Linked DNA regions of Macaca fascicularis. The protein of the gene in region 3 interacts with the protein of the main gene of each other region in a biochemical or structural test. Links are inferred from orthologs where the notes say so. Each region holds a gene or a part of one and is shown on either strand. Other genes may lie near its edges. The genes, in order: SREBF2, PTPRJ, MAPK3, PTPRB and DUSP3.

Region 1 (5,883 bases), on a different chromosome or scaffold from region 3:
TCCCAGCAACGATCTCCCCTCCTCAACTCTGCCCTTGCTCCTCCAACACTCAGCCTCTCAGTGTCTCCTCAGACCTCTCCAAACTGCTCCTCTTACACAGCCTCTGCCCCTGACTCCCCGTCCTCTATCTGTTCATCTCTGTGTGCATGCGCAGTGGCACGATCACAGCTCACTGCAGCCTCGACCTACCTCCCAGGCTCAAGTGATCCTCCCACCTTGGCCTCTCAAGTAGCTGGAACCACAGGTGCACACCACAAAGACCAGCTAATTTTTTGAATTTTTTTGTAGAGATGCAGTATCCCTGTGTTTTCCAGGCTGGTGGGAAACTCCTGGGCTCAAGCGACCTTCCTTCCTTGACCTCCCAAAGTTCTAGGATTACAGACGTGAACTGCTGTGCTAGTCTTTCTCCTTTTCTGCTGTGCCAGTCTTTATCCTTTTCTTTCTTTTTGAGATGGAATTTTGCTCTTGCTGCCCAGGCTAGAATGCAGTAGTGCCATCTTGGCTCACTACAACCTCCACCTCTTGGGTTCAAGTGATTCTCTTGCCTTAGCCTCCCAAGTAACTGGGATTATAGGTACGTGCCACCACACTTGGGCTAATTTTTGTATTTTTAGTAGAGACAGGGTTTTGCCATGTTGGCCAGGCTGGTCTCGAACCCCTGACCTCAGGTGATCCACCCGCCTTGGCCTCCCAAAGTGCTGGGACTACAGGCATGAGCCAGCTACCATGCCCAGCCTGACTCTTCTAAACTTGAGAAACACAAACCTGATCATATCACTATTTTCCTAATGCTCTTCACTGAATCCTACTGATACACTACAAGATCCCCAGCCTGGCATCCAAATCCTTCATGGTCTGAGCACTGCCTTTGTGCCCTGGCTCCCTCTAGGACCACTGAAGACTTATTCCCAAGAGCCATCCCAGGTGGGGCTCCTCCTTGGGAACATCCCTCTGCCCAGAAGGCTCATATCCTGCAGAGCTGGTGACCTCTTATGCATTCTTCCATGCAAAGCCAAGACTCTTACTTCCCTAGAAGCCTTTCTTGAAACCCTCCAAACAGGTACCCACTCCCTCCCAACGAAAACATGTTCCTTCTGCTAAAGTCTAACATACTCACACTGAACTGTCATTCATTGCTGACCTCTCTGCCTTTCTATTATAGCAGGAGCTTAATGAATGAAATAAATGATCATATTTCATTGACTCTAAGATGTCAGCAATTTTAAATCTCACCATTAATTTAAGTATCACTAAAGAAAAACACTGCCACTTATCTACAATGTGCCACTGTTTATAGGACACATCCTGAGTATAGTGATGTTACTGTGAAAACATGTGCATCCGAGAACTGATGAGCTAAAGCAAAGAGCCATCCTTACAGCTGTGGAAACAGGTAGAAGCTTGGTCTAGCCACTCTAAAAGAGCAGCATTAAAAGGACTTCAGCTAGGGTGCAGAACTGGCAAATCAAGCTAAGGAGGAGAGGTAGCATGATATGCCTTGCAGCAAGCCAGGCAGCAGCAGCCGCCCCGTCACCTGTGATGTGCAGCTGGTGCAGCCGGTGATAGGCCAGAGCCGCATCCCGGGCGCTGGTCTTAGCTTCATCTTCAAAGCCTGCCTCAGTGGCTGGCGTGGCCCGCCGGCACTGGAAGACTTTCTTGAGCAGCCAGCGCACCAGGCGTAGCTTCTGCAGGCTGTAGCGGATCACGTTCCAGGAGAGGCTGCAGGCCAGGTCCAGGCGGGAGGTGGGCAGTGCTCGGCCCAAAACTGCCAGGCAGGTTTGTAGGTTGGCGGCAGCAGCTGCAAAATCTCCCTACGAAGTATCAAGAGGTGTTAACGGTCACTGGCCTTGCTCTGGCTTTTTGTTTTGATATAGACTTCTACTCCCTTCACTCCCCATTATCAGAGGAATTAGTGCATACTCATAAAAACAAGGGAAACTTCAGAAAGCTACAAGAAAGTAAAATAAAACCACCTATAATCTCATTCCCCAGGAAGAAGCCCTGCTGACATTCTGAGGTATTTCCTTCCAGGCTTTTTACTCGATTGAGATTGTACTGTGTTCCTTCTTTGAGCAAATGCTGGTCAGAGTTCCCTCAGAGTGGCACTTTATTTATTTTTTATTTTTTTGTATTTTTAGTAGAGACGGGATTTCACCATGTTGGTCAGGCTGGTCTCGAACTCCTGACCTCAAGTGATCTACCTGCCTTAGCCTTCCAAAGTGTTGGGATTACAGGTGTGAGCCACCGCGCCCAGCCAGCAGTATCTTTTAGACATGAGACAGGTGACACAGATTTAGATGAACTGCATGATCCTTTAGGCTTTCAGGGTCTCAAAGTGCGGCCCCCAGAGGCCAGTAGCATCAGCTCTTAGGAGCTTGTTAGAAATGCGAGCACTTGGACCTTACCCCAGGGCTACTGAATCAGAACCTCTGGTGTTGCAACCCTCTAGGTGATTCTCATGCCATGTCTGCTAAAGTGTTTTTCTTTTCATTTTTAGAGATGGGGGTTTTGCTGTGTTGCCCGGGCTGGTCTTGAACTCCTGGGCTCAAGCAATACCCACACCTCAGCCTCCCGAGTAGCTGGGATTTACAGGTGTGAGCCACAGTACCCGGCTTCATGCCTGCTGAAGTTTGAGAACCATGGTTTCAGGCAAACTCACAGCTAAACTACCCTACTCTAGGATTCAGATGAACTAATCTTTGTCAACCTGAGAGGGTCTAGTGGAGAGTCTTGGCACTGCACTGAAGAACGCTTGCCTTCTCTCTGTCACTGTTGGAGACTATAAGACAGGCTAAGACAGGCTATACAGTCTTAGGAAATTAAAGTAAATTATCCTATTTTCCTCTATTGGGCAGCTGGTACACTACCTGTGTTTTGTTTCCCACATCATTACAGGACTGGATAAGGGAAAAGAAAAGATGTCCTCAGAGCAACAGTCTCTAAGGTGGCTCTATCTTTTCCGTCAGAAGTACCTGCAACTTGAAGATTCAAAAGGAGGCAGGTGTTCCCTGGCTCCTCCCCTGCCTTTCCCTCAAAGGTGCGCTATTCCCAAGTCCCAGTCTTTGGCTCTCACCCCTCCTGACTCCCCAGTCCAGTTCTCCCTAAGAATCCTCTCCTGACAGACAAGCTTCTCAAATACTCTGGCCCCGCCACTCCTCCATCCCCATGGCCTGCCTCCCAATCACTGCTCACTCTACAGAGGCCTCTTCCAGCTTTTCCAGGCAACATGGCCTAGATGGAGTCCACTCCATTTTGGAGCCTCTCTTACCCTTGAGTCAATGTCACTATCACTTCCCTTCCAAATACTACATTTCAAATATTTATTCAGTTCAAACTTTTCCTTTTAATTCCAGGTCCTTGCCATCATCTCTTACTCAGCCTATTTCATAGAGCCCCCTGACTCAGCCAGGTGTGGTGGCTCATGCCTATAATCCCAACATTTTGGGAGGTCAAGGTGAGAGGATCACTTGAGCCTAGGAGTTTGGGACCAGCCAGACAACATAGTGAGACCTTGTCTCTACTTAAAAAAGAGCACCCTAACTTGTTTCCATGTTCCATTCATTTCACATCTCCCTTCTACCTATCCTTCACAGCCACCAGAATGATGCTTATAAAACACACACTTGAACCTGCCTCTAGGATATACATCTTGGGATGTTATGCTCAGGGAACAGGCCTCTTAAAATCACATCTACATTCTGAGACCCGTAGCCCCAGCAAGGCTGACAGATCCAGGATGGCCAATCAGATTCTCACTAATGGCTCTGCAGCTTGCAGAGGTGGGGAGGGCATGCCCATGGCTCACTGCTGCTGAGGAGTGTTCTGGTTCTTGTTCCTCTTAAAATGTGGATGTTTAACTCTTCCTCAATGCTGTGAGTTGCCCCAGAATTTTTTCCATAAACTCCCTGTTGATTTCAAATGAAAACTTTCAGCTAGTTTTCCTGCTCAAAAACCTTCCCTGGTTCTATAAAGAATTGGGAATAAAGCCCCAAATCAGTTCCCAGTGAAAGCCCTCTCCAATTTGGGCCTAGACACACTACCAGCCTTTGCCTTCAACTCTCTGTGACACACCCTACACTTAACATACCCTGGAACCTGCCAGTCACCAAATAGCCTGTCTATTCATGCCTTTGGGTGGGTCCTTCGGCCACCTCCGCCCTTCCTTCCTGCTCTTGGCAGCCCCGCTCAAGCCCTGGAACCCCTCCCTCAGAACCCAACTTTATTATTCCTCTGTCATACCAGAGACATAGATCATCTCATGTCCCTGGAATTAATTATCTATGCAGAGGCGCCCTCTCCACTGCCCTGTGACTGTTCAGCAGCAGGGTCCCTTTTTCCTTTCAGTTACCACAAGTATCTATCATAGGACTTTCTTCGACATGAGTTGCTGAATTATTGGTCAAGTCTAGGGGAGGATGGGGAAGGGCGGACACAGAACTCACTCTGGCGAGATCCAGGTCTGCCTGTTTCCGGTGCCTCCAGAAGGTGACCGAGGAGCGGGAGTGTGGCCGGATCACTGGCTCCCCATGGACCAGCAGCTTCACAAAGACGCTCAGGACAATCACACCATTTACCAGCCATAAGAGAAGAGTAGGCATCATCCAGTCAAACCAGCCCCCAGAACCTAAGAAGGAGTATCTCAGCAGAGCCTGCCAGGAAAGGCCTTGCGGAACAGCCAGGCACCTGACAGACCCCAGCACTATCACAGGAACGAGTCTTCTACCGTATTTTCAGAAGAAAGGGTGAATAATTCTATAATCTAAACGGGGCTAATGACTGTAGCCCTTGTCATTATGGAGCTGAGTGCCACAAAAATCTTTGTTAGCTTGAAAGGGTTAAGGCATTGGTTTTGCAACCTCAGGTAAAAAACTCCATATCCTCCTTCAAATAGGTACCACCCCTCCACGCCAGGGTATTTAGAGTAGTGTGGGTCCCTGATTTGTTTTGCTCATTCTGACTGAACTTGGGCTTGCCTTGTTACTTCCAAAACGGAACTTATGCCAGTCCCTATCAGAAGCAAGCAGGTGGGGGCCCACTATAAAACCCCTTTGGGACCTGGTAGCCAAGCCAAGAAGTTTGTACACAGGGTCCTTCTCCTGCCATAGTGGTCCAGCCATGCCCAGGTGGTGTAAGGGGCCGCCACTTACCTGACTCAAATGACAGGACACTGCGGCCAGAGCCTGAGTGTGGGTGCTGGTCAGAGTCGTGAGCCCCTCCCCACTGCAGCAGGGAAGTCAGGGGGTTAAAGGAGAGGCACAGGAAGGTGAGGACACACAGAAGAATCCGTGAGCGGTCTACCATGCCCAGTGCCACAGGAGGAGAGTCTGGCTCATCTTTGACCTTCAAAACAAGGCCTCGAGGTTGGAATAAATACTGCATAGGTTTTTACAGCACTTTATAAATACATATATATATTGAGAAATGGTTATGAGGTTTAAATTCAAGTCTATTAACTCAGGACTAAGGCCAGATGGGAATTGAGAGGCCTATAATTCACTAACTGCTGCTCAAACATTGGCACATTCACCTGCTTGCTAACTGAGAAAAGTACATGTGCCAAAGAACAAAGGTAGAAGAGATTTTCTTTTAAAATAGAGCTCTACCACAAAAGAGAACACACTGTATGATTCTGTTTCTGTATAATTCCAGAACAGGCAAAATGAATCTAAAGTAACAGGAAACTGATGAATCAAGTAATTGTCTGAGGCTGGAGAGGGGTGTGGGAAACTACCTGCAAAGGTGTACAAAAGAGCTTTTTGGGGTGATGGAAATGTTCTATATCTTGATTATAGTGACAGTTACATAGCACTGTACATTATGTTAAAACTCTTGGTACTGTACATTTAAAGTAGGTATATTTTATTGCATTTAAATTATACCTCA
Region 2 (6,407 bases), on a different chromosome or scaffold from region 3:
CTGGTAGCATCTTAAATCAAGCTTTCCTTCCCTCTGGGTATCATGGACGTGAACACCTTTTATGTCTCTGGCTTAAGAGGGGAGGAGGCACGGAGGAACAAAAATCCTTGTAAATTATGATAATTACATAGTGTTTAAATGAAAGGTGGCAAGGTGTGTAAACCCATAGGTAAGGTTTCTTTTTTTTTTTTTTTTTGAGATGGAATCTCACTCTGTCACCCAGGCTGGAGTGCAGTGGCACAATCTTGGCTCACTGCAACCTCTGCCTCCCGGGTTCAAGCGATTCTCCTGCCTCAACCTCCCAAGTAGCTGAGATTACAGGCGCGCCATCACGCCCAGCTAATTTTTGTATTTTTAGTAGAGATGGGTTTTCCCCATGTTGGCCAGGCTAGTCTCGAACTCCTGACTTCAAATGATCTGCCTGCCCTGGCCTCTTAAAGTGCTGGGGTTACAGGCGTGGCCTGAGCCACCACGCCCAGCCTGTTTTTTTTTTTGAGACATGGTCTCACCTTATTCCCCAGGCTGGAGTGCAATGTCGCCATCTTGGTTCACTGCAGCCTAGGTTCAAGCCATCCTTGCATCGGCCTCCCGGGTAGCTTAGTCTACAGCCGTGTGCCACCACACCCGGCTAATTTTTGTATTTTTTGTAGAAACTGGGTTTCACTCTGTTGTTCAGGCTGGTTTCAAACGCCTGAGCTCAGGTGTTGCACTCACCTCGGCCTCCCAAAGTGCTGGGATTACAGGCGTGAGCCATCCTGCGGCTCGGCCAAGTTTCTTTATCCTTAGTGCTTCTCTGGGTGTGTCGTCTGGTGGGAGCCACGTAGACCCTGTACGTGAATGTGTGTTTCCATCTTGTAGATGGTAACCTGAGACCCAAGGGGTGTCTGGAGGTAGCGTTGGCCACCTGGTGGTCTGCACACAGAATCCAGCCTAGACTCATTATCCTGGCCTTTGAAGTCTCTCCCTGTATGAATCCCCCAGCCTCCCATTCCTGTTTCTCCCAAGGCCAAGCTTGAAGCATCTGCTGCCTCTTTTCTGCCAAGTTGGCCCCACCTCCTGAGACACTTCTCCCCTCTACTGGCCTGGTGAAACTCAACCCATCCTTCAAAGCCCAGCTCAGGTGTCACCTCTCTCCTGGTTGGAATTAACCTCTTCCTCCTTAGCACTCTCTGGTTTGGCCCTTTCTCTCGCGGCTTCTCCTGGGCAAGTGGCTTAGCCTCCCTGATCCTAGCGTCTTCCTCTGTGCATGGGCACAGGAGTAATATCTGCTGTGATTTTTAACTCCTGTCAGTTCATGGACCTCTTTAACAACGTGATGAAAGCTTCCAGAAGAGCTAACATATGTGGAGTCCCACGATGTGTCAGGCCAGGTATTTAGGACTTTACTAACCACTGTCCCGTCTAATCGTGAGTGCAGTGGACCTCTCTCTACACAGGTCCTAGTACGATCTTTATTTCACACGGGAGGAGAGGTGGGTGTGGGAGCGGCCAGAGAGGAGAAATGCGTCTCCAGAGTTCACAGAGCTGGTACTGCCAGCAGAGCCCGGTCCACCATATGCCACCGCTGGGGTTCTAATCCCTGGACTGGCCTCTACTGGGCTCTCTGCCTCCCTGGCCGGCGCTCGGGGTCTGGGGGACAGAACACAATGTACAGCGTGCCTCCTACAATTTCTGGGTTCACGCACCCCCAAGCCCACCCAGGGACAGGTCAAGCGCGCCTTCGCCGGGATGCTGTATACAATAAGGCTTGGCTGCGCTCTCAGCAGGGGTCTCGGTCAACCTCTGCCTACCCGAACCCGGCGCCGTGGACCGGGTGAGAGAAGGGGAGCCCGTCTTGAGGGGTGCCGGCTCGAGGCGCTAGAGCCACGGAGCCTGGTCCTGGGCTCGAAGTCCCAGGAATGTGGGAGGGCTGGGCGGAGGGGCGGGCGAGGCGGGGGCGCTTCCTCTGCCCGCGGGAGGAGAGCAGCGGCCGGCTCGGAGGGGGCGGGGGCAGCGGCGGGCGGCGGCGAGGGGCTGCGGAGCTCGGCAGCCGCCGGGCCGGCCGGGGCGGGAGGAAGCGATGAATATTCAGAGGGGGAGGGGAAGGGAGGGGGCCGAGCGCTCGCCGCGGCTCCCTGCAGCCCCAGCCGCATGACGCGCGGAGGAGGCAGCGGGAGCAGCCGCGGGAGCCGGGACCGGGGAGCCGCGCACTGGGGGTGGGCGCCGCTCGCTCCGCCCCGCGAAGCCCCTGCGCGCTCAGGGACGCGGCCCCCCCGCGGCAGCCGCGCCAGGCTCCGGCGTGTGGCCGCGGCCGCCGCCGCCGCTGCCATGTCCCCGGGGAAGCCCGGGGCGGGCGGAGCGGGGACGAGGCGGACCGGCTGGCGGAGGAGGAGGCGGAGGAGGCGGCAGGAGGCGGCGACGACGGTGCCCGGGCTCGGGCGCACGGCGGGGCCCGATTCGCGCGTCCCGGGCACGTTCCAGGGCGCGCGGGGCATGAAGCCGGCGGCGCGGGAGGCGCGGCTGCCTCCGCGCTCACCCGGGCTGCGCTGGGCGCTGCCGCTGCTGCTGCTGCTGCTGCTCCTGGGCCAGGTAAGCGCCGGGTGGGCTCGGGCGGGGGCCAGGAGGCTGGGGCGGGACTGGCATTGCCTGCACCTGCCTGGGAGTACCCCGCCTGGGGGGTTCCATGGAAGGGGGCGAGGGTCCGGATCCTCGGATCCCCCCTCTTGAAGGCGGCTTGCGGGGACCCCGGCCGGCCTCGCACGCCGGCGACCGAGCCCTTTTCCGGCTGCCCAGGATCAGGGGGAGGGAGGCGGGATCCGGGTTCCGCGGTGCCCGAGCCTCCCGGGGAAAGCCTCCGCGCGGGTTCCAGGCGGTCCCCGGCCCGGCTCTTCCCGGCGCTGGGCACATCTGGCCGGCACGGGCCCGGCTTGCCAGCCCGAGGCGGCCGGAGGGGGCGTGTTTGCGGAGGTCTGGGGACGCAGTGCCGGGCGGCCTGGCCGAGCCTTTGCCGACCGACCTCCGACCCGGCCTGCAGGGGCCCGAGGGGCGGCGGGGGCGCCAGGGCAGGGCCAGGAGCTGGGCAGTGGGGCCCTGGGCGAGGCACGGGACTCGGGGCCGAGGGCGCTGTTTCTGGGGAAAGTTCCCAGGCCGGGGAAAAGGTGGCCGAACGCTGGCTTTTCTCAAGGTAGCCGGCCCTTTTGGCGTCGTGCTTGATTTCATGGGTGTTTAATTCGTGCTTTGTGGGCGCCGGCTCCCCGTCCCCACCCCACCCCCGCCCTCTTGTCTTGCTTCACTTTTCGGATAATGCTGTCCCTGGCGTTTTGGTGACCGACCTTTCCCCTTCCTGGCATTTCCATAGGGGGTGAGGCAGGGCAGCTGAGGGGCATTCCCATTTCACAGATGGGGAACTGAGGAAGAGAAGTGAAAGAGCGGAGCACCCAGCCCGTGCCATGGGAGCTGAGCCAGCGGGCGCGTTCTCTCAGCCTCTGGAGCCTATCGGGGTTTGAACTCGCAGGGGAAGTGGCCTGGGGCTGCCCTGCTGTGCGTTTCTGCAAATGACCGTCTTGCTTGGTTTATACAGACACCATCTCTGAGGAAATGAGTTATTGACTGGGGATGGAACCTGGTTTCAGGGAAAACTTCTCCAGCTTGAATACAGGAGAGAGCAGAAGCATCTCCCTGGGGCAGAAATGCCGCCCAGCAGGCAGTAGGAGAAAGGGGCTTGGGCCTAGGGGCTGCGTGACCCTCGGCATCCAGGGGTCTCTCCTCGCAGTTTCCTCAGCAGGTTCTGCACAGGCTTTCCTGGGGGCCGGAAGGCAATGTGACCTCCTGCAGAGAACCTTGGAGTAGATGTCAGGAGACTGGCTCCAGGTCCAGGCCGCAGGGCTGGACTTCCTCTTCAGGCTCCTCTACCCTCAGTTAACAGCATCTGTAGAATGGGTGTAGCACCCCCTTCCCGATGGAATTGTTTGAGGGGCTTCCGCTGGCCAATGTCTAAAAGAGCTTTGTAAATATTAAGGGTTTCCAGATGGGATTCTCATTATTAAGGTACAGTGTGTGGGGGGGCTGTCTTCTCCCTGACCATGCAAGGAAATTCAGGGAAGCAGTGTCTGAAATTAAAAAAGCCTTGCATTTGAAGATTTCTTGTATCAAAGTTTATGCTAAAACAAACAAAAACCCCAAAAAACAAAAAACAGAAAACCTCCCAACTTAAAGCTTCATTTGTTTTTAAATATATATGTAATTTATTTTTTCGCTTCAGCAAAAAAAATTTTAAATTATAAATATAATTTTTTGTTTTGCTCCAGCCATACTGGTTGCTAGCTGTGCTTTCAATCAGCAAAAAGTTTCTTGGGTAAATTTATTGCTTGCTCAATCCTTCCTTGTATTTCATTAGCATATTGCCACTCTACACTTGTCCTGTATTTAAATATTTCCTTCCTCTATGGTTTGTTCTGTAGAACCTCAAAAGGACTCTCTTCTTTTTTTTTTTTTTTGGATACATTATGAAATAGGAAATCTAAAAGGCTCTCAGAAGAAGCATCTTCAAAATCCACATTCAGCAGTTCATTTTGATAATGGATATTTCAGGGAATCAGTGCCTTTTTGAGCTGGACCAGACTTTCAAGATAGCTGAAACCCCTCAGAGCTCTTAGATGAGGATATTGAGGTCCAGAGAAGACAGGGAGCAGGCAAAAGTCACCCAGCAAAGCATTAGAGAAGACAAGTTGGGAACCTGGGTCACCTGCCTGGGCCTTGTATTTTCAAAGTGCTGTTTTTTTTTTTCGTGTTTTCACTTTGATCTTACTTTTAATGATAGCGACATATCACTGTGTCTTCTCAAAACGGTGAGTGTGAATGGAATTTTTCAAAGTCGAATCAAATTTGAGATACTTCTGAAGTTTGTTTAGGAAACAAGAGTATGTGACTACCTTCCTAAAAGCCGACTGGTTTTCTGAGGCCTGGATTGTGTGTGTATGTGCTTGTGTGTGTGTTATAAAATGGAATCAACTCTACCAGGTTAAACAAATGGACAAGTCATGGAAAAGACACAGCTCTGTTTGGACATTAATAAGGGCGGATGTGGAAGCTGGAAAGCTGAGATGCTGGTAGGCTCAGTACTTCGCAGGCCCGGAAAAGCAGTTTTTGAACTGGCATCTCATTCCCCTTTTCTAAGACAGGAAGGACGGTCAGAAATGATTCCAACATGAGGACTTTGCTGGTTGCAGTGTCTGACTCCTCCCATTCTCATAGCAGTTTTGCACACTAGTTTTGGTTTGTGGGTATGTTTTAGGCAATGTGACAAAGCAGATTTCCTCCTGCTTCCTTCTCTTGAGAAATTTAATCCTGACAGGTTCTTTAAGAAATCAGCTTGATGTGGGCTGATTTTAAAAGAATAAATGAAAAAAAAGCTGGTGACTAATAGCTGTTTTATTGGTCTTGTAGTGTTTTGGTTTTGTTTTATCTTCACTTTCTTGTTTCCTAGTGAATAATAACTGGGTTTATTATCTATCATGGCTAATCCTTAAGCCTGATTCCTTACCTGTTCCATCCAGAGTACAAAATATGTTTTGACTCCTCTTTAAACTGCTTGTTAGATTCTCATATGAGTGACTTTAAATATTTTTGTTTTGCTTCAGAACAACGGGAAAACCAGATGATTATGTTTTGTTTGCAGACAGTTTACGAAAACAGAGCAAATTGGTTTATGGTTAGACGGTGACTTTGAGCTGACTTTAAGTTCGGCCCCAGGATAAAGATAACCGTGGAATACCCAAGCTTTCCTAAGCAGTGAGGATCCTGGCTTCCGAATGAGCAATTTTGGTCAGGAAAGGGGTTATTTAGCTCCTAAAAGTAATTTTTGCTTGGGGTTGGGGCTGAGGCAGAGTGGCTGAATGACCGTAGGCCTGGGTGTAGCCAGAGGATCATCAGTAATTACTTCTCAGTTCATTCACTTCTTGGGCTAGGGAATTATTTTGAGTGCAGGATAAGAGGCAATTTTCTGTGTATTTCCCTTCTAATATAATGCCACTGATGATATTATAATTAATAGGTAACATTATGCATGACAGGCACTGTGCTAAGGGTTTTAATGCATTATCTCATTTGGCCATTTCAGAAATACCAAGAGATAGGTGCTGTTGTTTTTTTTTTTTTTGAGAGGGAGTCTCACTCTGTCACCCAGGCTGGGTGCAGTGGTGCAATCTTGGCTCACCACAACCTCCACCTCCTGGGTTCAGTTGATTCTCTTCCCTCAGTCTCCCGAGTAGCTGGGATTACAGGCATGTGCCACCACACCTGGCTACTTTTTGTATTTTTAGTAGAGACGGGGTTACATCATGTTGGCCAGGCTGGTCTTGAACTCCTGACCGTAGGTGATCTACCTGCCTTGGCCTCCCAAAAGTGCTGGGATTACTGGCGTGAGTCGC
Region 3 (5,851 bases):
CTTAGTAGAGACGGGGTTTCACCATGTTGGCCAGGCTGGTCTCGAACTCTTGACCTCGTGATCCATCACCTTGGCCTCCCAAAGTGCTGGGCTTACAGATGTGAGCCACTGTGCCTGGCCCCCCCTTTTTTTTTTTGAGACAGAGTCTCACTGTTGCCCAGGCTGGCGTATAGTGGTGCAACCTCCGCCTCCCGGGTTCAAGCAATCCTCCCACCACAGCCTCCTGAGTAGCTGGGACTAGAAGCGCATGCCTACACACCCGGCTAATTTTAGTATTTTTAGTAGAGACAGGGTTTCACCACATTGGCCAGGCTGGTCTCGAACCCCTGACTTCAGGTGATCCACTCGCCTCAGCCTCCCAAAGTGCTGGGATTACCAGAGTGACCCACTGTGCCTGGCTAATTTTTGTATTTTTAGTATAGATGGGATTTCGCCATGCTGGCCAGGCTGGTCTCAAACTCCTGACCCTCAGGTGATCCACTCATCTCAGTCTCAGTCTCCCAAAGTGCTGGGATTCCAGGCATGAGCCACTGCACCCAGCCCCCGGGCACTTCTGTTGTCACCAGACACACCGAGCATGGGTGCAGGGTAAGCTTGCTGCTATATGGAGGCACATACAAATACAGATATAGATATTGATATAGATACAGATACAGATAGAGATATAGATAGATATAGATACAGGTATTTAGTATCAGCGTATCTGTGTGCCGGCCATGGGGACACTCACCAGGCCCCAGGGTGCAGGGATGTCTGTCTGGGTTAGGGGGCCTCTAGCGCCCCAGGCTGGAAGCGTGCTGTCTCCTGGAAGATGAGCTCCTTCAGCCGCTCCTTAGGTAGGTCATCCAGCTCCATGGCGAAGGTGAAGGGCTCCTCGGCCACTGGCTGGGGTGGCAGAGACAGCAAGGCTCAGGCCTGGCATGGGGGATGCCTACTTACCCCCCTGCCCCTGGCCCTACTGCTGCTGGGGACTGGCCCACCTCATCCGTCGGGTCATAGTACTGCTCCAGGTAGGGGTGAGCCAGCGCTTCCTCCACTGTGATCCGTTTATTGGGGTTAAAGGTTAACATCCGGTCCAGCAGGTCAAGGGCTATAGAAGGGCAGGAGTCAGGGGTCACAGGGAAGACTGGAGAAGCTCCCAGAAGCATCACTTTGCCTGTCTCCTCCAGCTGCTGCTGGGCTCCCGTACCCTCCATGGCACCCAGGGTTTATCCCACACCCGTCCTCATGTCTCTCAAACCTTTGGAGTCTGACTTGGGGAAAAGCTTGGCCCAAGCCACCTTGGTCTTGGAGGGCAGAGACTGTAGGTAGTTTCGGGCCTTCATGTTGATGATACAATTCAGGTCCTCCTGGGATGGGGAGCCCAGGATGCCTGTGGATAAGGAGGTGACTTGGTAAATGATCACCTCCTTCTTTCTGGGAACAGAACAGGCAACAAGGCAAGAACAAGACCCCCAGCCCAGCAACCCATGCCAATCCCTCAGTTACCTCCTAGTCATTAGCATGGTGGTGCAGAGCAAGGGGGCTGGATTCAGGCAGACCGAGGCTCAAATCCTAGGTCTGGTGCCTCCTTAGGTGTGGGACTTAGACTTGCTTTTCCCATCTATCCAATGGGGATAATATCTATACCTCATTGAGATACCATGAGATGCTGGAGGCGCCCCACACGTGGTGGTATCCCTGACTTGGACTCTTGAGAAATCTCACCTTGGAGAAGGTAATCATCCCCCACTCAGCCAGCCGGGCCTCCCTCACCCAGAATGTGGTTGAGCTGATCCAGGTAGTGCTTGCCAGGGAAGATGGGCCGGTTAGAGAGCATCTCAGCCAGAATGCAGCCCACAGACCAGATGTCGATGGACTTGGTATAGCCCTGGGAGAGAGGAGGAAGTGGTGGGCTCCTGGGCCAGCCTCAACAGGGTCCTGTTTCTACACCAAGCCACCATCTCCAAGTTAGATCCAACACCAGGCAGAAGGCAGAGGCCTGGAGGGCTCAATGCTCAGCTTCCTTGCAGAGCCCAAGGCCCAGAGGGTGGAATTCCTGTGTCATGGGGGTCGGTATCTGGCTCGGAGGTAGCTCCAGGGCTTCCTGGGACCTGGTCCCTTCCCTTCAGGAGTGGGCAGCCCCTCCTACCTTGGAGTTCAGCATGATCTCTGGGGCCCGGTACCAGCGTGTAGCCACATACTCCGTCAGGAAGCCGGTGTGGTCATGCTCAGGATCGGCAATCCGGGCCAGGCCGAAATCGCAAATCTGGAATCAGACCAAGCTGCTAAGCTCGGTGCTCAAGGCCTCTGCAGCTTAAGCAGTCACGCCCCCTTGTCTTTGCCTCCACTGTTCCCCTTGCTTGCAATGTTCTCCTGCCCAAGGCTTCTACTGGTCACCTGGAAGCCCCAGACCCTGGGGGAGGAGGGGACAGGTGCCCAACCCTCTGACCTTAAGGTCGCAGGTGGTGTTGATGAGCAGGTTGGAGGGCTTTAGATCCCGGTGGAGCACATTAGCGGAGTGGATGTACTTGAGGCCCCGCAGGATCTGGTAGAGGAAGTAGCAGATGTGGTCATTGCTCAGTTGCTGGCTTTTCAGCAACTTGTACAGGTCAGTCTCCATCAGGTCCTGCACAATGTAGCTGAGGATGGTTCCGGAGACCCCCGGGGAGGGGGCAGCGGGAGGCACTTGGTTAAGGAAAACAGGCTCTGAAGGCGAGGCTGCACATCTCCTCCAGCCAGGGCCCCTGGGACTCAATAGATCTGCCAACCTGCACCACCAGCTGGGCAAGCTGCTGCCGTTACCCAGCGGCAGGGCTCTGAGCCTCTGTCGCGTCACCGTTGCTGATCCTGAGCAAGGGGCTTCACTTCTGTGGCCTCAGTTTCCCTACCGGGGAAACAGGGATAATAATAAACTGTGGGAGGCCGGAGAACTTCACAGTTAAGAGCAGCAACTTGGGCCAGGAGTGGTGGGTCACGCCTGTAATCCCAGCACTTTGGGAGGCTGAGGCGGGAGGATCGCTTGAGGCCAGGAGTTTGAGACCACCAGCCTGGGCAACATGGCAAAACTCTGTCTCTACTGGTAATACCAAAATTAACTGGGGACAGTGGCATGTGCCTGTAATCCCAGCTACTCGGGAGGCTGCAACACGAGAATCACTTGAACCCGGGAGACAGATGTAGTGAGCCGAGATCATGTCACTGTACTCCAGCCTGGATGATAGAGTGAGACTCTGTTTCAAAAATAAATAAATAAATAAATTAAAAAAAGAAAACTACAAAAAGAGCAGCAACTCTGGACTTAACCCATGGAAGTCTGAAATCTCCTCTCTACTACTTACTGGCTTTAGGAGCTCAACCTGTCTGTGCCTCAACTTTCTCATCTGGTATGTAGGGGAAATAATGTGTTTTTTGTTTGTTTGTTTTCTTTTTATTTTATTTATTTATTTTTTTTGAGACGGAGTCTCGCTCTGTCACCCAGGCTGGAGTGCAGTGGCCGGATCTCAGATCACTGCAAGCTCCGCCTCCCGGGTTCACGCCATTCTCCTGCCTCAGCCTCCCGAGTAGCTGGGACTACAGGCGCCCGCCACCTTGCCCGGCTAAGTTTTTTGTATTTTTAGTAGAGACGGGGTTTCACCGTGTTAGCCAGGATGGTCTCGATCTCCTGACCTCGTGATCCGCCCATCTCGGCCTCCCAAAGTGCTGGGATTACAGGCTTGAGCCACCGCGCCCGGCCTGTTTGTTTTCTTTTTGTGGAGACGGGCTATTGCTATGTTGCCCAGGCAGGTCTTGAACTCATGGGTTCAAGTGTTCCTTCCACCTCGGCCTCCCAAAGTGCTGGAAATTACAGGTGCGAGCCATGAAATAATGGTTCTTTTGAGGGTGGTTGTGAAGACTAGATGAGATGGCGCATGTAAAACTGTCAGCCCAGTGCTAGGCAAGTTGTGAGTGCTAGGCAAACATGAACTATTATTACTAATATCAATGCCTGAGTCACATGGCTGTTGAGGGAGTTAAATGAGATAATGTATGAACACCATCTGGCATGCAATAAATGTTTGCTTAAAAATAAATGCCTGCCTTATGGGAATGGTTTGTGCAAGAAAAATGAGGAGACACTCCCAATAGCACACTCCCACTCAAAGAAGAGTGCTTGGCCATACCTCAGAAGATGGAGGAGTAAAATGTCTTTTTCTATTTGAAGATAAAACAAAGCTTATGCGTAAATAAATAAATAAATCCACAAATGCCGTTTGGCTTGTCTCTGGAAAAATAAGTCAGGGCTGTCTTTTAGAATCTGCCTTGAGGCCAGGTGCAGTGGCTCACACCTGTAATCCCAGCACTTCAGGAGGCCAAGATGGGTTGAAGACCTGAGGTCAGGGGTTCGAGGCCAGCCTGGCCAACAGGGCAAAACCCTGTCTCTACTGAAAATACAAAAATTATCTGGGCGTGGTGGCGGGCGCCTGTAGTCCCAGCTACTTGGAAGGCTGAGGCAGGAGAATAGCTTGAACCTGGGAGGTGGAGGTTGCCGTGAGCTGAGATCCAGCCACTGCACTCCAGCCTGGGTGACAGAGGGAGACTCCATCTCAAAAAGGAAAAAAAAGAAAATAAGAATCTGCCTTGAAAGGGTCTTCAGAGGATATGTGGACCAGCCCTGCTGTTTTAGAGCTGGGGAGGCCCAGCGAGACGCAGTGACTTGCTTCAGACCACACAGCGAGATGGGGGTGAGCACAGAGATTTCCAATTGTCCACAGTTTGTGGTGGGGGCTGCAGACACCGCAATACAAATCCCCGCTCTTGGGTGGAGGGCTGGGACTGAGAGTGGGTGGGTGGGGTAGGGAAGAGGTGACAGGTGTCACAAGTTGCTAAGGAGAGCCAGACAGGAAGTGGACAGCAAACTAGGAAAGCAGTATCAGGGGAGGACAACAAAGGCTAGGCTGTCCCTCCCTGGGCAAGGTGCAAGTCCACAGGTGATTAGGGTGTGGCTCTGAGTGAGAAGTCCTAAGAAGGACAAGTTTCCATCTGGGGGAGGGGAGGAGGAGACAGCAACAGAAACACTTGATTTTAGGTTTCCTGGGCCTCAGCTTCTTCATTTTTTTTTTTTTTTTTTTTGAGACAGGGTCGCGTTCTGTCCCCCAGGCTGGAGTGCAGTAGCACAATCATAGCTCATTGTAGCCTTGAACTCCTGTGCTCAAGCCATCCTCCTGCCTCAGCATCCCAAGTAGCTGGGACTACAGTCATGCACCACCAAAGCTGGATAATTTTTAAATTTTTTGTAGAGATGGGGTCTCACTATGCTGCCCAGGCTGGTCTTGAACTCCCAGCCTCCACTGATCCTCTGGTCTTGGCCTCTAAAGTGTTGGAACTACAGACGTAAGCCATTGCACCCTGCCCTCATCTTTGAAATGAAGCTGCAAAGCCTATCTCATAGGGTAGTTGGGAGGTGTAATAGAAAAAAAAAAAAAAAAGCATTGGGCATGTATAGTACCTGACACGCAGTAGGACCTCAAGAAAGGCAGTTTTTTTGTTTTTGTTTTGTTTTGAGACAGAGTCTCACGCTGTCACCCAGGCTGGAGGGCAGTGGCACGATCTTGGCTCACTGCAACCTCAACCTCCGCCTCCTGGGTTCAAGCGATTCTCTTGCCTCTGCCTCCCAAGTAGCTGGGATTACAGGCATGCGCCACCATGCCCTGCTAATTTTTTTGTACTTTTAGTAGAGATAGGGTTTAACCATGTTGGCCAGGCTGGTCTCCAACTCCTGGCCTCAGGTAATCTGCCCACCTCAGCCTCCCAAAGTGCTGGGATTACAGGCATAAGCCACCACGCCCAGCTGACAGTTTGCTTTCTCCCTGTCTCCCTTCCAGTCTGGGGA
Region 4 (5,883 bases), on a different chromosome or scaffold from region 3:
CTTGCCAAGAGGTAGCACAGAAGTCCAAAAGGGTTTGCAAAATTCTAACATGAAGCTTTTTGAAAAATGCTTTTGGCTTTTCCTATTGTTTCTGTTTCTCATATCACTGAATCCAACTTCCTCTTTCTGTTTGCTTTTCCCTTTCTTTCCCACCTGCTCTCTTCTCCTCACTGCATTTCCCTCCCTCATTCTCTTGCTCCTCGACTTTTCCAGTCCCAGCAGCTGTCACCAACCTGAGGATCACAGAGAACTCCACCAGGCACCTGTCCTTCCGCTGGACCGCCTCAGAGGGGGAGCTCAGCTGGTACAACATCTTTTTGTACAACCCAGATGGGAATCTCCAGGAGAGAGCTCAAGTTGACCCACAAGTCCAGAGCTTCTCTTTCCAGAACTTGCTACAAGGCCGAATGTACAAGATGGTGATTGTAACTCACAGTGGGGAGCTGTCTAATGAGTCTTTCATATTTGGTAGAACAGGTAAGACCAAGACCCAAGCAGTAATGAATCGTGGGGAATTGTCCCGGTATTCACTGGCTTTTCCTGGGTTGGTCCTTAGTTTCCTCTTCTATTCAGGATGTAGCTTTATATGACATTTGTGACTTTCAGGCTGTTTGACCCTAAATCGCACGTTTGATTACGTGTAACTAATTTGCGGCCAGTTTTTGCACTAGCTTCTGCTCTTTTGCCTCCACTTGTTTACTTCCTAGGGCTTGGTAAAAAAATGAATGTGGTTCCTCCTCTTGACATCAAACTGTACAAGAGGGCTGTAACCTATCATAGTTTAATTCAAGCCATACCCTGCAGCTTTCTAACAAGAAATAGATGGAGAGGAGAGCAGGAGCAGAGAAGGGCAACCACAAATATAGCAAACAGGCAGTGACTGCTGTGAATTAGAAACATAGCACTAGATGAAGTGAAAACACAGAGTTCCAGGAAAGTGAGAGACATCTCTCTGGGCTGCAAATAAAAAACAGAATCTACCCTTTTCCCATAATTTGAGTCCTTTATCTCCTATTCAAAAAAAATTTTTTTTTGAGACAAGTTCTCGCTGTGTTGCCCAGGCTGGAGTGCAGTGATGCTATCATGGCTCCCTGTAGCCTCGACCTCCTGGGTTCAAGTGATCCTCTTGCTTCAGCCTCCCAAGCAGCTGGGACGACAGACACATGACACCATGCATGGCAAACTTTTAATTTTTATTTTTTATAGAGATGGGGGCTTCCCTATATTGCCCAGGCTGGTCTTGAACTCCTTGGCTAAAGCAGTCCTCTGCCTCGACCTCCCAAAGTGCTGGAATTAGAGGCATGAGCCACCATGCCCAGCCTACCTATTCAATTCTTTTTTCTCATTTGACAATAGTTTTAGGTGCTCTTCTGTGCCAGGTACATGGCCCACTGCTGTAATATGACAGTCAAGGGCGCTGCCCTCAGAGAACTCTGGAATAGCGGGGAGGGAAGAGGACGGGGACAGATCATTAAAGGGAGATGATTTGGGAATGCCTTACATTCTATGAAAAAAATGATGTGTCATGATAGTGACTTGGCAGGACAAGCAACTACTTTAGATAGGAGAAGTCATTTCAGCAGAGAACTAAAGGTGAAGGGAGCCAGGTGGGAACATATTCCAAGGGCAGCCAACAGAAGTTCTGTTTGTCTTTTGAAAGGAGTGAAAAAGAGCTGCGATAAGCCTCAACCACAGATAGAATTGCCTACCCGTCATCATTTCCAAGGCAGCCCTTTGCACATCTTTCCTCACCTGCTCATTAATGCTTAGAAGTCCTCCAATGTGGCAACAGTCTTCATTCTCCAAAGAATAGCAAAGCTATTGGGATGGATGGCAGCATGACTAATCTATACAATGATAGGAGTGACTGTAAACACTTCTCTCCCTACATGAAGTTATACCAATACAGATTTTATAAGAAAGGGCACAAAAGAACTGAGAACCTAAAGGAGGGTAGAGAGGATGTAAAGAGACCCAGAGAGGGTTGCTGTGGGATGGTGGCTGCAATGACATAGGCCACACTGGGGAGGAGCTGGAACCTTGTATACACATTTTCTGGGCCTTTTTAAATAAGCTAAATGACAACGATTTATTCATCATTTATGAAGATTTCATTTTACATGCTTATCAGGGTGCATGTGGCAAGCATCTGGAAGTCACCACCTGTTTTGTTTTAATTTACACCGTATCTCTAGTCTATACGCCCTTAAAGTTAAATGGCCTGAAATGTAGGCAAGATCTGACTATAATATGTACAACTCACCCACATGCCCAACGTAGCATATACTCTCACCTGTGGGCCAGAATGCCTTTGTTTCTGTTTTGTTCTCATTAAGAATTTTTCTTGTTTAAGTCCCAGCCTCTGTGAGTCATCTCAGGGGGTCCAATCGGAACATGACAGACAGCCTTTGGTTCAGCTGGAGTCCAGCCTCTGGGGACTTTGACTTTTATGAACTGATTCTCTATAATCCCAATGGCACAAAGAAGGAAAACTGGAAAGACAAGGACCTGACGGAGTGGCGGTTTCACGGCCTTGTTCCCGGAAGGAAGTACACGCTGTGGGTGGTAACTCACAGTGGAGATCTCAGCAATAAAGTCACAGCGGAGAGCAGAACAGGTGAGAAGCTCAGGTGCCAGTGGCCAAGGGGTGGTGGGAAGTAGCTTCCAGAGACACATTTTGATTCTGATTTTAATGACAAGAGATAAAGCCAATAATGGTATACCCTTGCTAGCCCCTGAACTTGGGAAGGGACTGTGGTACAACAGATAAAGGACAAGGCTATGGTCCAAAAGAACTAAGTCCTTAGCTTAGCTCTATGAATCTGGTCAAGTCATTGAGCCTCTCTAGGCCTCAGTTTCCTTATCTGCAAAGTGGGGATAATCATATACATCATCACTGTGTGGCTATCACCAGTGCACCCTAACTGTTTTTATGTCATGGGCACACATAGATGTCTGTGTGTCACCCTGGGGTTAATCAACAAGGCTATCTGCAATTGGACATAATTGTCTGTGGGTGTCAGCTCTGCACCCCAAAATCTGATGGAATTAATACCTTCACACACTTGTAACCCATTCGGAGCACACTCATGCTCCACAGCACCATGGTAAGGAAGATCTGGCTATGAATATTTAAGAAAACATATATGAGGCTGGGCACCGTGGCTCACGCCTGTAATCCCAGTATTTTGGGAGGCCGAGGTGGGTGGATCACTTGAGGTCAGGAGTTCGAGAACAGCCTGGTCAACTAGAGGAAACCCTGTCTCTACTAAAAATACAAAAATTAGCCAGGCGTAGTGGTGGGCACCTGTAATCCCAGCTACTCGGGAGGCTGAAGTGCCTGTAATCCCAGCTACCTGGGAGATGGAGGTTGCAGTGAGCCAAGATCATGCCACTGCACTTCAGCCTGGGCGGCAAGAGCAAAACTCTGTCTCAAAAAAAAGAAAAAGAAAAAGAAAAAAAGGTACATAAAATGCTTGAGGACAGTGCCTTACACATAATAAACACTATTAATGAAAGCTCCTGCTACTATATCATCATATTATCTCTTCCTACAAGGTACATTAAAAGTGTGTCTGATGTTACTCAGCTATCTTTTTTGTATGTGTTATGGCATAGATGTGATTATGTGATTTTTCACTTTCTCCTATATTCAGCTCCAAGTCCTCCCAGTCTTATGTCATTTGCTGACATTGCAAACACATCCTTGGCCATCACGTGGAAGGGGCCCCCAGACTGGACAGACTACAATGACTTCGAGCTGCAGTGGTTGCCCAGAGATGCACTTACTGTCTTCAACCCCTACAACAACAGAAAATCAGAAGGACGCATTGTGTATGGTCTTCGTCCAGGGAGATCCTATCAATTCAGTGTCAAGACTGTCAGTGGTGATTCCTGGAAAACTTACAGCAAACCAATTTTTGGAACTGTGAGGACAAGTATGACATGTTTTGCTATTCTTGTTTCTCAAATGGAGTGAGGGGAAGTATATGTTCAACATCTTACTTAAATAGGGCTTGGATTAAATCCGTATTTTTACATGGGATTGGTCTGGATTTGAATTCAGGCAGAAGTCTATGTAGATTTGTTCATTCATTTAACATTAACAACAAGGGACAATAAAGAAAGAATCTCTCTCTGCCCTCATGGGGCTTACAATTAGGTAGGACGTACTATTTGTAACTAGACATTATATTTTGGGTATGATGAGGGAAGTAAATGGTACTATAGAGGCACTGGTTGGGTAATCTGACCCAATACAAGAGAACTTCTTGGAAAAGGAAACATCCAAATAGAAACCTAAAGAAAGAAATTTACCAGGTAGAGGCGGGGGAAGAAGTGGAGAATATTCCAGGTTGAGAGAATAAAATATTCCAAGATCAGAGAGGAGGGAGAGTACAAGATCTACTAACAGGGGAACAGAAAGAAGTTTATTTGGCCATAGCATAAAAGGTAAGGATTAAGGGAATCACATAATAAAATGTTTTGTATTCCATGGTAACTCTGAACTTTATTTTGGATCAACTGGAGCCACTCAATTTCAGCAGAGATATCATAATCATTATTTACACTTTAGAAAGTTACTCTGGGTACAGTGTAGAGAATAGACCGAAAGAGGCAAAACTAGAAGCAGAGGGATCATAGGACATACTGTTGTATGTCCCTGAGAGAAAAATACTTTGATGACGAAGCACATACCAGTTTCTTCCCAAAGGCATTTTGGGATAGATACTATCACCCTCAAAGAAAGACAGGTTTTCAGCTTAGGGACTTTAATCCAAATATTTGTGTTTCAATAATACCCAGTAGAAGTAGCTTCTGGGATCAGATCAGATAGTTAATGGTTGTTGATAAAATGCATAGTTGAAAGTTAGACATTTAAGCATTTTAATAAAGCCAGACATTTTTAATAAGCATTAATACTATAACAAGTATAACTTTTATGCCACATTGTATCCAAAGAGCAGTTATTTGTGTGTCAAAAGAAATATGTGAAAAAGAACTAAGAGTTTTAGTTTATGGCAAGCTCAGGCTGAGTTTTCAGTGGCTGACTGTGGGCTGTGTTCATGAAATCTGTTAAGCAGAGCACCCTGCACTGGTTACCAAACCCAGGGCAGGACTCTGAACACTTCTGCCCATTGCATCTGGTATTAGAGTCACCAGAGAAACATAACGCAAGCACTGGATGGAACAAAGCTTTGCTTACATAGGGAGGAGACAGAGTAAGATCAACCTCAACAGTATGCCTCAGTCCCCCATGGCCAGCTGCAGTGGTTGCCCAGAGATGCACTTGCTGTCTTCAACCCTGACAACAACAGAAAACAGAAGGGCACATTGTGTATGGTCTCTTCCAGCAGTCAGTGCAGGGCAGTTGGCTAAATGCACCACTCTCAGGTCACAGTAGAAGGACCCTGTCCTGTCTCCTCAGAGGACAACCGTAGCATTGGTGTTCACCATCTGCCATGTGACACACATGCGTAAGCAGAACAAAAGAGCATACATTGAGCTTGCAACAGGGAACGATACTCCCACACAAGGCAATGAGCCCAGCACAGGCTGTGTAGGCTCTCGATCTCTTGGTAAGAAAGTATCTTAAGCTCAAGGGCCATTTCTTACACAGCCAAACGGGGGTCGATAGACTATGCACATGACACTGCCTTTCCCAAAAGCCTTGCAGGTACTCAGTTTAAGAGCTCATATGACTCTGTTAGCGGCTGGGCTTATAGATCACGACTGGACTGTTGTATTCAGTCCTGGATGCTAGAATTTAAGTGAGGCATTCACCAAACGGAGGAGTGCCCAGGAGGACAAAAACTGCCATGGAGAGGGACTCAGTGCTGTGTTTTATGAGGAATGATGACTCGTGGAACTTGTTTTTTGTTT
Region 5 (6,400 bases), on a different chromosome or scaffold from region 3:
CCCTGTCTCTTTAAAAAAGAGAGAGTGGCTGGGTGCGGTGGCTCATGCCTATAATCCCAGCACTTTGGGAGGCCGAGGCCGAGGTGGGCGGATCATCTGAGGTCAGGAGTTCGAGACCAGCCTGATCAACATGGTGAAACCCCATCTCTACTACAAATACAAAATTAGCCAGGCGTGGTGGCACATGCCTGTAATCCCAGCTACTCAAGAGGCTGAGGCAGGAGAATCACTTGAACCCAGGAGGTGGAGGTTGTGGTGAGCCGAGATCGCGCCATTGCACTCCAGCCTGGGCAACAAGAGTGTGACTCCGTCTCAGAAAAAAGAGAGAGAGAGAGAGAGAGAAAAGGTGGGAAGAGATAGCTGCAGTGTCTCATCTGCTGTACTTTGTCCTGCTTGGATGTGGTGACCAGATCCCATCTTGGGACCAGGACGGGAGCACCCAACACTGAGGTGGCAGAAGAGAGAAAGGGAAAGGGCCTGGTCCAGATGCCACCACGGAACTGCTGAATCAACCAGCCCCTATGCTCTTTCACCTCAGGACTTCCTGCCATGCACATGAACACATGAACACGTCTTCCTCATCGTTACAGCTGTTCGAATGGGGGATGTGTAAGCAACTGGAAACCAACCTCCAGCCAAAGTGCAATCAAATGCAAGGACCCTGGGGCTGCCACGGTGTGAATGAGTTGCACATCCTGTGACACATGGGGCCACTTGACAGGCAGCCAGGTGAGCAGAGAGAGACCTACAGCTCTGTCATTCACCCCAGAAGATGGGAAACAAGGAGGTTTCCAAGAAGACACCTGTTGTGGGCCTGTTTTCCAGAGGGATAGTCTAGTCAAAGCTGCCTCCCATCTTTTCCTGGCGGGAGGTCCCTTACCATTCTTTTGAGCCAAAGCCTGGTCGATGAAGTCAGCAGCCCTTTCAAAGTAAGCGCTGAGGTTGAACTCCTGTGTGTCATTGGCCTTGATGCCCAGGTATGTGATGCCGGAGTCCTTGTAGAAGTTGGCATTGGTGTTGACGTGCATGAAGGACCTGCCCTCAGCCGCGTTCAGAACATGGGTGATGCCTAGTTTCTGCAGCTTGGGGATATCCTGAGCCACAGACCTGGACGGGAGACAATGGTGGGGATGATTAACCAACCAAATGGCAGCCCCAGGGGGAGGAAGATGAAGGAGGATTTAAACCTCTTGGCAAAGCAAGGAACCCCTCCATGCTCTGGCCCCTGCCGGCTTCTCCTGCCTCAACTTATGACCTCCTCCCTGACTCTGGCCATATCGAATTGCCAGCAGCTTCCCCAAATAGACTGGTGGTTTCATAGCCATGCTGTTCCCTCTGGAATGCTCTTTTCCACCTTTTCTGGAGAAATGTGCCCTCTCATCTTTCACACCCTCTGCAGTGTTTGTCTCCCCTCCATTCCATTTGGCCCCATGCTCCCTAAGCTGTGGTGGGGGTGTACATAGCCAACTGGTTACAAATGGGCTCTGGAACCAGACTAACTGGATCTGCACCCAGCCCAGGTACTAGCCAGGCAACCTTAAGAAGCCATTTAACCTTTCTGTGCCTCAGTTTCCCTCTCTGTAAAATGGGGATAACAGTGCCTTCTCCCTGAGGTTCTTATGAGCATTAAATGGGCTATTCCGTTGACAGAGCCGGACATGGTAGTGAGCACTACGATTCTAATGCTTGATTGTGCTTCTGTGTTTAGACATCCAGGCTTTGAGCTCCTTGAGAGAGGAACCATGTCTGCTTTAAGTCTGTTTCCCCACCACCTGCTATAGTACCTGCCACATAGTAGGTGCTGAATAAATAAGTGGTGAATGAGTGTAGAAAAATAAATTTGTCATGCGCCAGGCAGCCCCCTCCCTGCCCCCTAGAGGGATCCTACCTACCACCTTCCACTAGCTACATTTCCAAAGCTCTTTTGGGTGATTTAGTACTTGGGGAGTAAGTGGCCCCAACAGAACTATGGGACGTTACAAAATAATTGATCTAAGGCTGGGTGCAGTGGCTCACACTTGTAATCCCAGCACTCTGGGAGGCCGAGGCATGTGGATCACCTGAGGTCGGGAGTTCGGGACCAGCCTGGCCAACATGGTGAAACCCCGTTTCTACTAAAAATACACAAATTAGCCAGGTGTGGTGGTACAGGCCTGTAATCCCAGCTACTCGGGAGGCTGAGACAAGAGAATCACTTGAACCCGGGAGTTGGAGGTTGCAGTGAGCCGAGATTATGCTATTGCACTCTAGCCTGGGTGACAGAGTAAGACTCTGTCTTGAAAAATAAAATAAAATAAAATAAAATAAAAATAAAAATCATAATTGGTTTGAATGGTGAAAAGGCCCTTTTATTTCATCTCACAAAACATCCCAGCCCAAATGGCAGTTTATACTTTATAAAATGTCACCTCCTATGTGATCTTGTTTGCTTACTGCGAGCAGCCCTGTGAGGAACAAGGATGGCAATATCCCCGCTTAACAGAGCTTGAACTCAGGGCCAACAGGATGAGCAGAGGGATGAGCACAGGCCCCATGTGCTGCCGGTGGCAGAGCTGGGGGAAGATCTCCTTTCTCCCGACATCCAGCCCTGCTCTATCTTACACCTCACTCTGCCTCTCATGCCCACATCTGCTGCAAAACCCCCAAGGCCTGGCAAATGTGGCTCACACAGGCTCTGTCTCTGCCTTGTGAGGACATGGCTGCAGCCCTGATTTTGTTAAGGGGATGGAGCCCAAGTCCTCTTGGTGCTTGGTGCTCACTGATCCTTCCTGTTGAGGAACCTCCACACCCCTGGCCAAGTCAAAGTCAGATGTGCTTAGAGGGCAAGGGATGTATTTTCTACAGGGGCCATCAGCAATTGCCACTCTGGCTACACCAGACGTGCACAACCTTGGTTTCCACTTGGGAAGTGATGACAGCTGAATGACCAAGCTGCCCAAGCAAGCGGCGTTCCTGAGGCTAACAAGGCCTGCTTGCTGCTTGGGGCAAGAGGAAGGGTGTCTCTAGAGCTTTGCAATTCCTGAAGCCTTTGGCTGACACTGTGGGACTCTGTTTATTCCTGCTTAGGACACTGCACAAGACTGTAAAGCAGTGGCTGATAGAAAAAAATCCTTTGAAGAGTCACCCCCATTCATCTCCCTTCTCTAATACTTTTTTTTTTTTAGATGGAGTTTCACTCTTGTTGCCCGGCTGGAGTGCAATGGCACGATCTCGGCTCACTGCAACCTCACCTCCCGGGTTCAAACGATTCTCCTCCCTCAGCCTCCCAAGTAGCTGGGACTACAGGCGTCGGCCACCACGCCCAGCTAATTTTTGTATTTTCATTAGAGACAGGGTTTCACCATGTTGGTCAGGCTGGTCTTGAACTGCTGACCTCAGGTGATCCGCCTGCCTCAGCCTCCCAAAGTGCTGGGATCACAGGTGTGAGCCACCGCGCCAGGCCTCTAATACTATTAATAATTCAATATTCAAAAAATTTACCATTATCATTATTACTATCTCTACTATGAATGAACATTGTACAGTGCCTGACATAAAGTAGGCGCTCAGACTGGTGAATGAATGATGGAATGGATGAGAACTGTCCCCATGAGGCTAGGGCCTGATGGACCCCTTCTAGTTCCACGATGAACCCCATTTCTGTGGCAGTCCTTGGCAGGCTGAACAGCAGGTCCTAGCAGAGGTCAGGAAATACATACATGAACAAGACATTGACCCTGTCCTTGTAGTCCCTCACACACTCTGAGCCACCATTTCCTCCTCTGTAAAATGGGAGGAGGGTTAGTTTTGAATTTTCAACATGCCATCCTTGGGCTGAGCCATGGAGCTTAGGATTTTGGTAACTGGGTCCTCAGAGTCTCATGAAAATCCAACCTGAGCCTTTCCAAGGCTGTACAGGCATGCTAATCTATTCTTTCTTGTGGCTCCTATTTCACATCTCAGAATTCTAACACTGGTTCTCTTCTGCTGATTAGACATTCTTACTATAAAAAATTTTAAAATTTAAATTTAAAAAAAAATTCTTACTGGCCAGGCGCAGTGGCTAACGCCTGTAATCCCAGCACTTTTGGAGGCCGACGCGGGCAGGAGTTTGAGACCAGCCTGGCCAAGAGACCAGCCTGACCAATATGGCAAAACCCCGTCTCTACTAAAAATACAAAAATTAGCCAGGCATGGTGGTGGGCACCTGTAATCCCAGCTACTCGGGAGGCTGAGGCAGGAGAATTGCTTGAACCCAGGAGGCAGAGGTTGCAGTGAGCCGAGATCGCGCCCTCCAGCCAGGGTGACAGAGCCTGGGAGTGAAAGGTCAAGAGCCTTTTCTAGGTAGTGGCTCAGGTCCTTAGGGGGATTATCAGTGGACCGTTCTAGAATCTCCTGTAAATCAAACCACATCTGGAAGGTGGGGGCCTGGAAATCCCGGCCCAGCTCCCCGGACTCGCTCGTTTGGGGTGTTTAGGTTCCCTGATCCGGGACTGCCGGGCCAGGAAAATTCCATGCCCGAATTGTGACGTCGGCCCGTTGCCATGGCGGCGAAGGCAGACATTCCGCGGTGACCTCACTGCAGAACCAGGCAGCTGTCACATGACGCGCTGGCAGGAGACCGGCCGGGCGACCGAGGGCCACCTGTTAAGTGAACATGGTAGCCCCGACCCCGCCCAAGGCCAAGCCCCAAGGGGGTGGCGGCTGAGGACCCAGGCAGGCGCCCCCCGGGCTCCGTGCACCCCGCGACGGGGAATGGCCGCGCCCGGCCAGGCAGGGTTCCAGTTCCTTGGCCCCACGCGCTGGGGTAGGCGTCGACTCCAGCCACCTCCCAAGCCCCCGCTGTGGCTCCCGGAGGGGCGATCGCGCCCGGGCTCCCCCAACCCAAGACTCGCGACACCCCGACCCCGGCCTCGAGTGGGCGGGGCGTCCCGAGAGGGACGGCGGGGCCGGGCTCACTGGGGGGACTCACGCGTTGCCCACGTAGATCCGCGGGGTGACCTCGTTGCAGGGTTGGCTCGGGAGGCTGTAGCAGCCGCTGCCGTCCGAGAGCAGGTCGTTGAGATCCTGCACCGAGAGCTCGAACGAGCCGGACATGGCGGCGGCGGGGCCCAGCAAGCCCGGCAGGAGCAAGCGAGGCGGAGAGCGGCGGGTCAGCTGGGCGGGGGCTCGCTCCGGGAGCCGCCCAGTCCCGCCCCAGGGGCGGGCCCGCAGGGCTCCGGGAGCTGAGGAGCGCGGGCGCCGTGACGCGGGGGCCCAGCGCGCCACTCCTGGGCGCGTCCCCGGGGGGAGACGCCACCGCCCTCGAGTCTCGGGAATCCTCGCCCCATCCCGGTCCAGGCCGTTTGTGTATCTTTGTAAACTGGGAAGCGCGGTAACTTCCTTCCCTGAATTAAATGCAGGGCCCAATAAACGTTTCTGTGGCGGGGGTACACCTAGAGGTTCCTTCAGTCTTTCAGGATTACAGGGACCGCGGGGTTCGGCTCGTGAGCGGCTCCCTGCTGTGGAGGCATCACCCGGGCGCTTGACAGAATCAAGCGCCCAGGTGATTGCTGGAAGAGTTAAATGTGACATTCAAGGAAGGCACCCAGCACTGCATGGCGAGCACTCAATAAGTGTTGGTCCTTCATCAACAAATGCGTTGAGCACCCAGTGGGTGCTACACCCTGTGCTGGGGTGGAGATCAATCAGACTCCTGCAGCCCTTCCTGGAGCAGATGCCAGCCCACCATAAGCCACTCAGCATTTCCTGAACTCCCACTAAGTACAAAAGATAGTCTGTACTGGAGGAAAGCCGCCCTCCCCTACTGCCATGAAAGACTGGCAGTTCCCTTCCTGCAAAGAGCAAATTTGGCCTTGAATTCAGGAACCCCACATCCTGAGCCAGCCCTGCCACTAATTTGGTTCTTTTTTTTTTTTTTTTTTTTTTTGAGACGGAGTCTCGCTCTGTCGCCCAGGCTGGAGTGCAGTGGCCTGATCTCAGCTCACTGCAAGCTCCGCCTCCCGGGTTCACGCCATTCTCCTGCCTCAGCCTCCCAAGTAGCTGGGACCACAGGCGCCCGCCAGCTCGCCCGGCTAGTTTTTTGTATTTTTTAGTAGAGACGGGGTTTCACTGTGTTAGCCAGGATGGTCTCGATCTCCTGACCTTGTGATCCACCCGTCTCGGCCTCCCAAAGTGCTGGGATTACAGGCTTGAGCCACCGTGCCCGGCCTAATTTGGTTCTTGAGTAACATGGCTGCTGCTGTGGTCTTCAGTTTCCTCATTTGCAAAAGGAATTGGATCAGATTATCATTAGGGTCAACTTTCTCCTCCCCCAAAACTTGTGGTCTTGCACCTTCAGGCAAGCTATTGCAGTGGAGACTACTTAGCTGATAGCCCAAGATGTGTAACCAAGGCTGGAATTTCTGTACCCCTCACCCCA

Evidence for each region.
Region 1: of the proteins of MAPK3 (region 3) and SREBF2, one has a biochemical effect on the other in vitro, tested with the Homo sapiens proteins (2 studies listed by BioGRID). The link is inferred for Macaca fascicularis from reciprocal best matches to the Homo sapiens genes MAPK3 and SREBF2.
Region 2: of the proteins of MAPK3 (region 3) and PTPRJ, one has a biochemical effect on the other in vitro, tested with the Homo sapiens proteins (2 studies listed by IntAct, with this or other methods). The link is inferred for Macaca fascicularis from reciprocal best matches to the Homo sapiens genes MAPK3 and PTPRJ.
Region 4: of the proteins of MAPK3 (region 3) and PTPRB, one has a biochemical effect on the other in vitro, tested with the Homo sapiens proteins (2 studies listed by IntAct). The link is inferred for Macaca fascicularis from reciprocal best matches to the Homo sapiens genes MAPK3 and PTPRB.
Region 5: of the proteins of MAPK3 (region 3) and DUSP3, one has a biochemical effect on the other in vitro, tested with the Homo sapiens proteins (2 studies listed by BioGRID and IntAct). The link is inferred for Macaca fascicularis from reciprocal best matches to the Homo sapiens genes MAPK3 and DUSP3.

The regions. Positions count from the first base shown.
Region 1 is NC_088384.1:9,727,642-9,733,524, forward strand, and holds part of SREBF2 (sterol regulatory element-binding protein 2), read right to left. Parts: intron 5,341-5,883; coding exon 5,148-5,340; intron 4,625-5,147; coding exon 4,443-4,624; intron 1,812-4,442; coding exon 1,535-1,811; intron 1-1,534.
Region 2 is NC_088388.1:17,852,057-17,858,463, reverse strand, and holds the start of PTPRJ (receptor-type tyrosine-protein phosphatase eta), read left to right. Parts: upstream 1-2,124; 5' UTR 2,125-2,130; coding exon 2,131-2,568; intron 2,569-6,407. UniProt on the Homo sapiens protein: Tyrosine phosphatase which dephosphorylates or contributes to the dephosphorylation of CTNND1, FLT3, PDGFRB, MET, KDR, LYN, SRC, MAPK1, MAPK3, EGFR, TJP1, OCLN, PIK3R1 and PIK3R2. Plays a role in cell adhesion, migration, proliferation and differentiation.
Region 3 is NC_088394.1:27,974,528-27,980,378, reverse strand, and holds part of MAPK3 (mitogen-activated protein kinase 3), read right to left. Parts: intron 2,622-5,851; coding exon 2,432-2,621; intron 2,249-2,431; coding exon 2,132-2,248; intron 1,871-2,131; coding exon 1,756-1,870; intron 1,373-1,755; coding exon 1,241-1,372; intron 1,091-1,240; coding exon 981-1,090; intron 886-980; coding exon 763-885; 3' UTR 731-762; intron 1-730.
Region 4 is NC_088385.1:77,296,405-77,302,287, reverse strand, and holds part of PTPRB (receptor-type tyrosine-protein phosphatase beta), read left to right. Parts: intron 1-213; coding exon 214-477; intron 478-2,353; coding exon 2,354-2,617; intron 2,618-3,656; coding exon 3,657-3,938; intron 3,939-5,883. UniProt on the Homo sapiens protein: Plays an important role in blood vessel remodeling and angiogenesis. Not necessary for the initial formation of blood vessels, but is essential for their maintenance and remodeling. Can induce dephosphorylation of TEK/TIE2, CDH5/VE-cadherin and KDR/VEGFR-2.
Region 5 is NC_088390.1:64,812,187-64,818,586, forward strand, and holds the start of DUSP3 (dual specificity protein phosphatase 3), read right to left. Parts: upstream 5,130-6,400; 5' UTR 5,077-5,129; coding exon 4,952-5,076; intron 1,108-4,951; coding exon 881-1,107; intron 1-880. UniProt on the Homo sapiens protein: Shows activity both for tyrosine-protein phosphate and serine-protein phosphate, but displays a strong preference toward phosphotyrosines. Specifically dephosphorylates and inactivates ERK1 and ERK2.